Caenorhabditis elegans: one gene and its partner. The protein of the gene in region 1 purifies or fractionates together with the protein of each later gene. This does not show direct contact. Each region holds a gene or a part of one and is shown on either strand. Other genes may lie near its edges. The genes, in order: agxt-1 and cutl-20.

Evidence for each region.
Region 2: the proteins of agxt-1 (region 1) and cutl-20 fractionate together in Caenorhabditis elegans (co-fractionation; one large-scale study listed by BioGRID). This does not show direct contact.

What each region holds. Positions count from the first base shown.
Region 1 is NC_003280.10:8,841,747-8,848,061, forward strand, and holds the start of agxt-1 (Alanine--glyoxylate aminotransferase), read left to right. Parts: upstream 1-3,851; 5' UTR 3,852-3,893; intron 3,894-4,483; 5' UTR 4,484-4,576; coding exon 4,577-4,633; intron 4,634-5,314; coding exon 5,315-5,473; intron 5,474-5,539; coding exon 5,540-5,618; intron 5,619-5,665; coding exon 5,666-5,774; intron 5,775-5,817; coding exon 5,818-6,016; intron 6,017-6,200; coding exon 6,201-6,315. Other genes in the region: F46C5.6 (Serine/threonine-protein phosphatase 4 regulatory subunit 4), read right to left, coding at 107-289, 334-524, 628-960, 1,010-1,134, 1,184-1,291, 1,416-1,522, 1,564-1,637, 1,817-1,882 and 4 more.
Region 2 is NC_003279.8:966,323-972,637, reverse strand, and holds the start of cutl-20 (ZP domain-containing protein), read left to right. Parts: upstream 1-3,180; 5' UTR 3,181-3,305; coding exon 3,306-3,401; exon of another isoform or gene 3,402-3,550; intron 3,551-4,149; coding exon 4,150-4,275; exon of another isoform or gene 4,276-4,320; coding exon 4,321-4,403; intron 4,404-5,714; coding exon 5,715-5,859; intron 5,860-5,904; coding exon 5,905-5,991; intron 5,992-6,039; coding exon 6,040-6,162; intron 6,163-6,315. Other genes in the region: shc-1 (SHC-transforming protein homolog 1), read left to right, coding at 688-1,178, 2,655-2,745, 2,800-2,958.

The DNA of each region.
Region 1 (6,315 bases):
TATTTTAACATTACTTGTGAGCTTATTGCTTGAAAAATGTATAGTTACTTTCAAATTTTATCTATCATCAATATCATAATGTTCATATTAAAATTCAAAAACTTACGACATTGAGAACTTCTTTTCTCAAAAGTGGAACAAACGTATCAATAATGACTTCTTCATCAATACAATTCGTAAGTGTCTTCAAACTTTTCAAAAACGCTTCATGACTCCTCCACGAGCTTGAAGTTCTTAAAATTTGATTGCATCCTAACAGAAGTCGGTCCACTTGTTGAACAGTTGTTCTCTGAAAAACAAAGAAAATATAAATTTTCAGATGGAAAGTTTTACCCCTGGATTTTCTTTCACATTTTCATACAAAATCGGCAGAATTTTTGATAGATTGTGAGATATTTTAGCAATGACATCGGAAGATCCTCCATGAAGAAGTTCGATGAACGGTGGTATTAGATCTGGTTTATCAGGGAACATGGTTAAAACCTCATGGTAGGAAGAAGCAATGCTCACTCGAACTTCTTCATCTGAAAATTGTTATTTTTAATTTTATTGCAAAAAATAAAAAGACAGCATATTCATTATATTAATTGGGTAATGACACTCCGACCACACGGACAAATAACTCACCATGATCTGTACAGAACATCTCTAAAAATGGAAGTAATCGATCCACGTGTTTTTTGAACATAGTCAGCATACATGGATAATTGAAACAACACGTCTTCTTCAATACGTTACGAATATTCTTTTGTGGGCCTTCACATAGTTCGTCTGATATTTGCACCATTTTGCAGTATGTATTCAGAACCCATGATTTGTCAAGTTGATCGAGAAGCTCATTGAGCTCCCATGACCATTTTCCAAAGTTGTTCGATATCACTGCGAGACCTTCATTCTTTTTCTCAAGCGCCTCTTCGGTTAACTTTTTGATAACAGAGAAGAGTGTGTGCTTTCGTGCATCTGAATTTGAATTTGAATTATAATTGAAATGATTATTTTCTGACAAAACCTCTTGTGAACAAGGAGAATGCATCAGTCAAACTATTCATTGCAGCTTCTCTCACATTCATTTCTTCATCATTTAATAAATGTACATATGAAGGCAAAAGACAGGACACAACATCGTGCGAGTTTCTGAAAGTTAAATGATTTTACACTAAAACAAAAAACCCCAACAACTTACTTAAGAGCATTTGCAATGACAAAAAGTCGTTGAGCAACTGCTACTCTCACATTTGAATTGGCATCTTTGCACAAGGTGGTAACAATTGGGCACAGTTCTTTTCTTATTCTTAAAATGTTTTAATTCGTTCATTGCCTAGTTACATTTTTTGTAAGTTAAATATATTTTAGAAAGCCGGTAGGTTAGGACTATTATGAGAGCGAAATGAAACAATTTCAAATAACAAACTCACTCGTTCGGAGGTAAAAACAATGCCAACTTGTGAATAATCTTAGTGGCAATAATTCGTCTTTGTACCCTCTGAACAGGTTCTGCTTGTGTTTGAATTACAGGAACCACCTGAAAATTAAATGAAGGGGATATCTAATATTTATGCTTACATATAATTTGATTGAGCTTAGTGACAATTTGTCTGCAACTTCAACAATTGTTTCTAACCAAGCAGCGGCACTCACTGAAAAATATGAATTTAAAATTTACACATAATTTATTTAGTGCGCAAGTTTTTTTTAGTTGTTAATGTTATAATTTTTATAGTTTTGTCAATGTCTAAAATGGTAATTCAAAAGAGTATTAGGTAAAAAGGTAAAGGTATTATTAAAAACAAATAAATTGTTAGTTGAGAATACATACAATGATGCATTTGATTGTTGATGCTACTGCCAGCTTTTATAACAATTTTTTCCTTTTCCTGAGTGTCTGGAAATGGTTAGGATAGAGGATAGAAGGGGAAAGGTGGAAAAACATGTACATACGATACTTGGAAAATACTTACGATGCTCTTTTTGATTTTGAATATTTTGAAGAATATTCTCGAGTAGAAGATCAACGATTCCCCTAGAAAGCTTGTTATTTTAAAGTAGTGGAATGTTTTAATACTCACTGAAATTTTTTCACGAGGTCCTCATTTTGAATAATTGACTTATAGACAACTGCAGCTTCACAGTGAAGGTCTAGGTTTGATTTTTCAATTTTCAAACATTTTTGAATTGCTGGTAGCATTTTTAGAAGGCACTTTTCTCCGTCGGAGGTGTCCAGAATGTCAGGAAATGTGCGAATTGATGTGAGCTTTTGAATTTCAGTTCCGTCTCTGAAAATTTTATGGTATGAACGATTTCCTTTTTTACAAAATGTCGAAAAATCAATTTTGATTTTTTAATTAATAAATCTTACTCTAAATTGATTAGAGCCTGATCCAATGGTGATCTTAGCAATTCCTCAAGATCTGGATCTTCTGCCATTTTGAATAGTTTTTCGAAATCCAACTTCATTACAGGAGGTTCTTTTTCTTCTGTCTCGTCATCTTCAATTTGATCATGCTGGAAAACAAAACGAATTCTATAAAATCTTTTCTGAAGAAATTTTGGTGTGAAAGCCGTTTTAAGTAGGCAACTACTGCAAAAATTTAGTATATTTTCCAATGCCTAATTTCATTACTCATTACTCATTTTCACAATCAAAAACTTAAATTTCTAAATCTCGTTTTTTATCATTACAATTATGCCTTACTTTAATATCAACTATAGATTCTCCATCCATTTCTGTGGCAGCGACCATTGAAATGTTGGAAAATGTGATTAGAATATCTGAAATTTTTCGAAAATCAATTTACAATAAGATGAGACAAAGAGCAACACGAGAGAGAGATAAGATAAACGAAAAAAGAAAAGAGTCAACAGTTTGAACGTCCCGCCTTTTTTTCGCATGATCCATCAAGAGGTAGGGGCAGCTCTTTAGATGCATTTTTGTTCGGCAAACAAATGAAACACATTTTCAAAATGGTTTGCGTTGGGCAAGAAAGTTTGAAAGTGTGGTTAGATATGACGAGTGATCTAGAATGATGCAGAAACAACATGATTCTTCAATAATACAAACTCTTTTTGCTTTGGAATGTAGAGGAGGTGGAGGAGAAGCAGGAAGAGGCAGCTGTGACTCCCGGGCGATGAGCAACTATCTCTATCCTCTCGAAACATTCAAAATGATTGGTGAGACGCAGACATCAAGTCGGTGTGTAAAGATATTCGGCCAAGAGGATCGGGATCGAAGGGCACGCTTGTGATCCAGTGTGAGAAGTTAAAAGCGAGGGAGGAGATGAAGAAATGAAGACGAAAAAGCTCAAAGGATGAAGCTGAAGAAAAAAAAGATAGAGAAAGATAGTGTTCACAGCAAAAACAGACACTGAAACCGGAGAGCTTCAAAGATCACGAGACATCACAAATTTGAGTTGACCTGTAATTGAATCCAACTCGATTTCGAAAAACCTGAGCAGTTTTCTTATTTTTATCAATAAAATGTGCAATTGTTCAAAACATTTCAAAATGTGCAATAAACTCGTGTGATCTGGAAAGTGTTCTTCACGAATCAGTACTTTCCGAATTCTCAAGGTATCTCCAGGCATACAAGTGAATTGGCTGAAAAACTCATTTATAGATTTGGGTAAAGAAAAATGTGAGGAGATTTCAGACGAAGCTAGGCGAAATTCAAGGAATAAGATGTAGAAGCTAAATTTGAAAATGTTCAGAAGTTAATATCTCAAAGCTTTATTATTTTTCCAAAGTTAACACAAACCAATGAACTTTTAAATATTAATTTCTAAATTTATTCATCGTATCAATTTCTGTAGACGTGAAATGCTATTTTCATGGAAATGAAACTAGAAAAAAAATTTATTCCGAAGTCTAAACTTCTCTGGATCTGCTCGTTGTTCGAGGTAAAGTTCAAATTAAACTCTCTTGAAGTTGGTAATCTTTCTCGATTTGTATTGTTTTGAGTAAGATAAGTTGGTAGTCCTTAAATTTTCTAGTTTCATTATTTGGTAGACAATTTTGAAAAATGTTTTAATGTTTTTTTGTAGCCATCTGACTAATTCCACGTCATTGATTAGACCACTTTAGTTCCCATTATAGCTTATTGTTCGCACTTTATTAAAATTTTAACTGATTTTTAAACTGTGTATTTAAAAAATTCCACTAGTTTTTTTCGGATGATCTCCTAAATCTTGAAACGTTATTTTCTAGATTAACGGAAATGTGCCAATGAACTATCCATAAAAATTATGCTCAAACCAAATTGCAAAAAAGTGTTGTTTTCCACTCAATTTCCATAAACTATAAAATAACCACGAGGTTTTCCCCAGTGCACTTTCAAGTGTTTCTTTGAACTCTTCTCTAAAAATTGACCGATCTCTGGGTGTCTTCTCGTTATCATTTATACCATCGACTGGTCATTTATACATTGTGATAAAATAGCCCCTCAGTCAGTCAGTCAGTCAGTGAAAATGAAAGAACAATGTACTTTGAGGAGTCACAGAGATATTTGCCGCCTGCAGGACAACCTCCTCAAGTTTTCTTCTCTACCTCAATATTCTTCCTCAATTGATTTAATTTCGAAGATATGATTTCAACGCGATTTCTAAGACCTTCAGTCTCGATTTTTGGATTTGGAATTAAGGTGAGTTCAATTGGTTCAAAAATAATAGGTTTATTGAGTACACAAATTGGAACCGCCTCTGAGAGTTTATTGTCATCATACATCAACATATGTGTTATCATTGATGAAACTGTTCATTGATACAATCTTTTTAGTTACTGCAATTATTTTATATTTATATGCCATTGTTCATTAAAAAAAGTTTTTGAAGGTTTTTTCCTTAAAAAAAATTATCTAACAGCATGAAAATTATGTCTTTCGAGTTCAAACTCTAAAATCATGTACTTGATTTTTACAGTATTTGGTGAAAAAAAAACCCACTTTGATTTATGGAAAATTTCTAACCATCTAGTATGCCGTTTGGCATTCGACCCTTCAACCCTTCTCCCCTAGACATCAAACCAATTCTTGACCATTTGGACACACCGTTCAATCTCCTCTTGACCAATTGGTTTCTCTGTGTCTCTACTCCATTCTACATGCAAATAGAGCGCATTTCATATTAGTTCCATGTCAGTACTGCGAAATGGAAAACATTTTAGTTAAATTTAAGATCAGTTTTTCGTTAATGTTTTGTTTTTAATAACATTTGTTTTGAGAACCACGTGTTGAACGACCTTTTAGTTATTATATTCTCAAATTATCACTTCCAAATCGATTACCATGTTCTTCGAGTATTTATGTATTTTACTTTTTTTCCAGTCATCAATGTCGTCTCGTGCTCCACCAAAAGCTCTTCTGCAAGATATGGTTGTCCCACCGCGGCAACTTTTTGGACCAGGACCATCGAACATGGCTGATTCGATTGCTGAGACCCAATCTCGCAATTTGTTAGGACACTTGCATCCAGAATTTGTTCAGGTATCTTTTTATGTTTTGTTGGAAAAATAGTAAATCGAAAACTAATTCATAAAGCTTTAATTTCAGATTATGGCAGATGTTCGTCTGGGTCTTCAGTATGTCTTCAAAACCGACAATAAGTATACGTTTGCTGTCAGTGGAACTGGTTAGTGTGCATATATCAACTTTCTCAATATCAAATCTAATATTCAGGTCATTCTGGAATGGAATGCGCGATGGTTAATCTTCTCGAGCCCGGGGACAAATTCCTTGTAGTAGAAATTGGACTTTGGGGACAAAGAGCTGCTGATTTGGCTAATAGGTTTTTAAAATCAATATTCTTGTTACAAATTAAAAATTGATAGAATGGGAATCGAAGTTAAGAAGATTACTGCTCCGCAGGGGCAAGCAGTTCCAGTTGAGGATATCAGAAAGGCAATTGCTGATTACAAACCAAATTTGGTTTTTGTCTGTCAGGGAGATAGTTCAACGGGAGTTGCTCAACCATTGGAAACAATTGGAGATGCTTGCAGAGAGCATGGTGCTCTGTTCCTTGTTGATACGGTTTGTGGTTTTTTTTAACTTTCTCGATCCTCACCATTTATTTATAAATCTTACAATGTTTCAAAAATTAACGGTTTTGTTTCTGAAAAGTTTAAGGTGTTTTTTAATGTAGTAAAATTGAAATTTGCCGAACGAGTCTCAAAATTGAAAATAGATGTTTAATGATCAAAGTTTTCATTTTCAGGTGGCGTCCCTCGGTGGAACTCCATTTGCAGCAGATGATCTGAAAGTTGATTGTGTCTATTCGGCAACCCAGAAAGTTCTCAACGCTCCACCAGGACTTGCGCCTATCTCATTCT
Region 2 (6,315 bases), on another chromosome or scaffold:
TTTTGTGAATTAAAAAAACAAAAGAAAATAAAATAAAAAACTTGCCATTTTCTGGGCATGGCTAATGGTAAAAATTTACAAAACATTTTCTCATTAATTTGATATTAAGTGTTACCAAAAATGCATGACCAGCTTTGCAAAATGTTTAAAAAAAAGGACCCGTGAAATGTCGGCCGCGCTACGATATCATCAAGAATTATTTCAAATTAACAAGCTGTCCAAATTAATGACTAAAAAATTATAGCAACCGACATCTCACAGGTTATTAGAGAAAGGTTACATGGTGCATCGACTGGAAATATCTGACTCAACTTTGACTACTTATATCTCTGCTGGTTTTGGTTTTTTTTTGAAAAAGTGTCAATTGACAAAATATTTATCGTTTTTTCTACTACAACTTTGCATTTTAACACTTTTTGATAGCAGCGAAATAAACTGAGATAATTACATGGTGCATCGACATGCTCAAATTTTGATAGCTTATATATCCAGTAAAATTCAGCCAAAAGCCTGCCACTATAGAATGTACTAAAGCAACCGACATCTTACAGGTCGATCAAAAATCGCGCTAAATGATGTCAGCCGCTATTCATAGAAAAGTTATTATCACTAATTTCGACTAAAATTATTGCAGCCGACACTTCACGGGTCGATGAAAAAGCCCAGGTAAACCATCCTTATTTTCAGGTAATCGGTGAAGTGAAAAAAGAAAACTTCCCCGTAGACATCAACATTTCCTCGAAAATGATCAAAATCATAAAACAAAGTCGTCTAATTCAACGTCATCCCTTCTCATTCTTCTCATTCGGAGCCCAAGGCCAAAAGGGTACGGACACGGAGCTAATGTTCGGCTACATTGCAAAAAACAAGGATGGAACGGATCGTCGATGCCACGTGGTGTTCATCGAGGATGTGCACAAGCTCATCGACGTCCTTACCACTGCGATCAATGTGAACACTTTTGATGCACAGGCGAATGCTTCAACTTCTAACGATGGATTTACGGTGCCGGCGCCGCCGATGAGACATCGAAGTTCCCTGCATCGACAGTCATTTGTGTCGAATTGCCGAGCACCTACTGTAACTGAGGATGTTGTGGGGAAAGTTTGGTATCATGGAAATTTATCCAGAGAGGATGCACAGGCTTTGTTGAAGACGGAAGGCGATTTTTTGGTTCGGTAAGGTTTTTTAGATTTTTTATAGAAAAAAGCTAGAATTTTGCTGAATTTCTAAAACGTTTGGCTTCATGCTCACTAGGTTCACACCAGGGGCGCGTGGGAATCGGAAATTTTCGGCAATTGCCAAAATTCCAACTGAATGCCGACATTTTCGGCAATTTTCAAACCTAATTATAATTCGAAAATTGAAAAAAAAGTTAACTGTGTTTTCAGTATTCGATTAGTCATTTTTAAAAGCAAACGGTCAATACTTAAAAAATTAAAAAATGTTTAGGCTCCTAAATCTACAAAAAAATATCAAATCTATATTTTCGGCAATTCGGGCAAAATTTGATTTTCGAAGAAAAAGGCTAATGTTTTAATAATTGGCAATTTTTTGGTAAAACCTGAGATAAGTAAAATATGAGCTATGATAGCTGATCAATGCATCATGTCTTCCATGTAACTTTTTCCAATCATATCTCGGTTTATATCGCTGCTAGCAAAAAGTGTTCATCTGCAAAGTTGTAGAAGAAAAAAGGATAAATATTTTGTCAATTAACAATTTTTCAATAAAACCACAACCAGCCGAGATATAACCTGCCAAAGTTTTGTGAGATATTTCTTGTCGATGCACCATGTTTCTCATGTAACTTTTTCCAATCATATCTCAGTTTATATCGCTGCTAGCAAAAAGTGTTGAACTGCAAAGTTGTAGTAGAAAAAAGGATAAACATTTTGTTAATTAACAATTTTTTAATAAAACCACAACCAGCCGAGATATAACCTGCCAAAGTTTTGTGAGATATTTCTTGTCGATGCACCATGTTTCTCATGTAACTTTTTCCGCTAATATCTCGGTTAATATCGCTGCTAGCAAAAAGTGTTCAACTGCAAACTTTTAGTAGAAAAAGTGATAAATATTTCGTCAATTGAAATTTTTTAAATAAAACCAAAACCAGCCGAGATATAAACTGCCAAAGTTGCGTGAGCCGGTCAATGCACCTTTCTTTAACAACCTGCGAGATGTCGGTCGCTATAATTTTTTACTAATAGTAAATCGGATAGCTTTTTAATATAAGCCTATTTTAACAGACTTCGTAGAAAAATCTGAAAGTCTAAAAAAATCAAATTTGACTGAAAAAATAGTATGAAAAATCCTTTTTTTATATATTTCTGACTTAAAGCTTCAGTCACATTTCATATCTGTAATTTGTTTGATAATATGTTCAGAAGCCACGGGACTTTAAATAATTCTTGAAAGACCAGGGAAAAATTTGGTATAATAAGTTCATCCTCCCAAAATTTTTTTAGATTTTTGTTTTAGGCTGAAATTTTTGTTCAAAAAAAATTCTGCGTTTTTTTTCCTGAAATACAAAAGATGCAAGGTTTGCATGATGCTAAGATTGTCTGAAGCAGCGGACACCTCACAGTCCCCCTTCTCTAAAAAAAGACCCGCAAGCTGTCGGCCGCTCAAACTTGTCCAGTTCCTTGCAGACAAAGCGACCACACGCCCGGCAAGTACGTGCTGAGTGGCCGAACCGCTGAAAACGAGCACAAACATCTCATCCTACTGGACAATCACAACGTAAGACCCTCCCCCCCCCCCCCCGCCAAACCTTCAAACCTCTCAAAATTCCAGAGAGTCCGAACCCGCGATCGCACGTTCAGCAACATCTCCGAGCTCATCGACTATCATGTGAACAATGGGATGGCCGTAAGATCAGAGGGTCGGGATCGCGAGACGTCGTTGAATCTGATCCGACCTGTGCCGTGCCCCGGAAGTGATGATATCGAATAGAGTCGGAATTTGTTTCCTATTTTTTTTTCGATTTCTAGCAGAAATTGAAAGTCGAGTAGCAAATTGCGTAAGACTTTTTCCTCTTCTCGTCGCCCCCCCCCCCTCTTTCATATAATTAGGTAGTTGTCCTTCTACCGTAACATGTCATTACTATCCTCTTTCTTTCCTTCTTTTTTTTGCGATTCTCCTCCTCGGCCACGCTCCAATTATACCCCCCACCCACCTGTATTCTTACGCCACCACCCCAACCAGCGCACACATCTTTTTGTATTCATTTTTCCATATATATTTGTATTATTACTACTATTACCCTCACTACTGTTATCGATTTTTCCCTCCACAAATTTATGATTCTGCACTGGATCATTTGGTCGGTGGTTGTGGTGCTGCCACCGCTGATTCGATCGGTGGCCATTGTGGACACTTCTATTGCGTGTGATAAGGTAGGGATGGCCTAGAAAAGTCACCTAGTCCAACACTCCCACCCCGTATCTATGTTTCTGCCATCTTGTGATATTTGCTCCATACCATATACCCTGCCCATTTCTGTCCTACTTTCATATCCTGAAAAAATGAAGTATTTGAGAATCGAGTTTTGAAAATATTAGTGGTGGCCTAGAAATTTTAGGCTTGGGTTTAGGCTTAGGCTTAGGCTTAGGCTTAGGTTCAAGCTTAGGCGTAGGCTTAGGATTGGGCTTAATCATGGGTTTAGGCTTAGGCTTAGGCTTTGGCTTAAGCCGAGACTTAGGTTTGGCGTCAGTGGCGAGCGTTAGCTTGCTACTGACGCTATTTAGGCTTAGGATTTTCCGGTTTTTTTTAGGCTTAGGCTTAGGCTTGAGCTTAGGCTTAGGCTTAGGCTTTGGTTTGGGCTTAGGCGTAGGCTTAGGCTGAACCTTAGGCTTAAGCTTAGACATTGGATTAGGCTCAGGCTTAGGCTTTTTGGAAGATGTGTGGAGCCAATAAAAAGTTGCATGGAAAAAATATGACGTCACAAATGACCTAAAATGTTTCATTGTTTTTGGCAAAAACACAATAGTTTAGAAATTTGGCTGCAAGAAGTTCCTCGGCCTAGAAACTCTCTTAAACTCTCGAAAAAGCGAATTTGAAGGGCATTTAATGGAAGATTAAAAACCCAGGCCAAAACCTTGAAGGTCACCACCCAAAAGGAAAAAAACGTCTTCAATATTGCAGACAGATTTCCTATTGAAAATCAAGTTTGACGAAAACTTCCGTGGCACGATACAAAGTCGCGCGGGCCATCCAAAGTGTATCTATGCAAATGGCACGCTTCAATCGGACACCAAATATCAGTTGAAGGTTTGCCTATTGAATGTATTGAATTTTTGGGCATTATTTGCTTAGATTCCGCTGACTGGCTGCTCGACCAAGGAGAACGGAGAAGGCAATTTGGAGAATGAGATCGAAGTTGTCATGGCTAACAATGAGTGGGTTTTTTTTTGCCATGTGGTACTAGGTTTTTTGCCGCTATGCTCACAAGGAAAGTATTTCCGCTCAGTTTTAAAGGTGGAGTAGCGCCAGTGGGGAAATTATGAAAAACCATTCATTTGGTCCCAAAGTGACCGAATATCATAATAAAACTTTTTTTTTTTGTAAATGTTTTATTTACTGTCAAAAAGTGGCAATTACTCAGGTAGTTTTGGATCATAATAAGTGTATTTAGACAAAATCCCCCACTGGCGCTACTCAAAATTTAAACTTGAAAATTAAATTTTTGAATTTTGAAAAAAGAGCTTTCAAATAGGTACCTACAAAAAATTCAGCGACATACGAGCACTTTAAACTAGAAAAATCTCGCTCTGAAGTTGCTGCCAGTGAATTTTTACTACCAAATTTGGAGGCTAGTTTAGAGATTTTTGAAAAATTTCATGATTTTTAGGCTATTTCAATATATACAAGTATTCTGAAAGCAGTTTGGAAATTTTCTGATTTCTCCTAATTTCTAATTTTTCTAATTTCTCAAATTTCTCCTAAAATCTGCAACTTTTTTCACCCAACAATTTTCATCGATCAGGATATTTTTTGGAATTTTTTTTTCAAAAAAAAAAAAACATTTTGCAAAAAGATTCCAGAATATTTGCCAACCTCGAAATACCCTAAAAATCATGGGGTTCTGGCGCGCCATGGCCTTCCTCATTGAGATTCTCGCGCTCCATTGGCAATCGCCCGTCGGGCAACGCGTGGGAAAGTCGTGTACTCCACACGGCCAACTACATTTAGTTTTACAACTAAAATCGAGCCGCGACGCGACACGCAACGCGCCGTAAATCTACCCCAGATATGGCCGAGCCAAAATGGCCTAGTTTGGCAACCTCTTCCATTTCAATTTATGAGGGAGGCCAAAAATCTGTGATTTCAGATCGATTTTTTTCTAATGTAGAATGATGATCATATTATGGTATTACCGGTACAGAGAGTGTAGATAGTTAGAGAGTGACAGACATCCGGGACCCAATGGGGCGGGGCGCGCGGAAGAGACGATTTGTGTCGATTTACGAAATTTTCCTCGTTGTCATCATTTCGTAAATCGACACGAATCGTCTCTTCCGCGCGCCCCGCCCCATTGGGTCCCGGATGTCAGTCACTCTCTAACTATCTACACTCTCTGTACCAGTAATATTTGTTATTGAAACTAATTTTTTTAGGAGCATTTTTTTTATTCCATGGTACCTAAAAAACCATATACGAACAAAAATAGACAAAAATAAAAAATAACTTCCTCATCGTTTTTTTTTAAGATTCAATGCAGAAACCGACAAACGATTCCTTCTGACCTGTATACCTGCTGCCCCTGTTCCTAAAGAATCTCAGGTGACCGTATCATTTGGTGGAATCACTATCAACTCGGATGCCACCACAGCAAGCAGCCTATCGGATAATAAGGTAAGGCTTCAAAATTATCGCTGCGAGACCCATATAATGTTTCAGACAGTCGACTACCGAGTTCGTGTTCTAGACGGCGACAGTTTGGATTCAAAGCAGCTACAACGTCCGTTAGCAGTTGGTGATAGAGTTGTAAGTCAGGAACTCCATAAATCAAAAGAAACTATTTGTAAATTGTAGACGTACACAGTTGAAATGAGCGATGATCAGAATGGACGAATCGGAAGGTGTTGGGCGAATGACGGGATATCCGAGCTACCACTGTCGGACTCACACGGATGCTCTTTGCAGACTTCTGGGGAGGTACGGTTTCATTAAAAAAAACATAGTGCATCGACATTTAAAACTGCCGAAAACTGGGTCCTGCCACCAGTTTTTCAAAAAAAAAAACTAACATTTTGCTCAAAATCATCATGGTGCATCGAAGAAACTTACAAAATTGGGTCGGTCAAACTT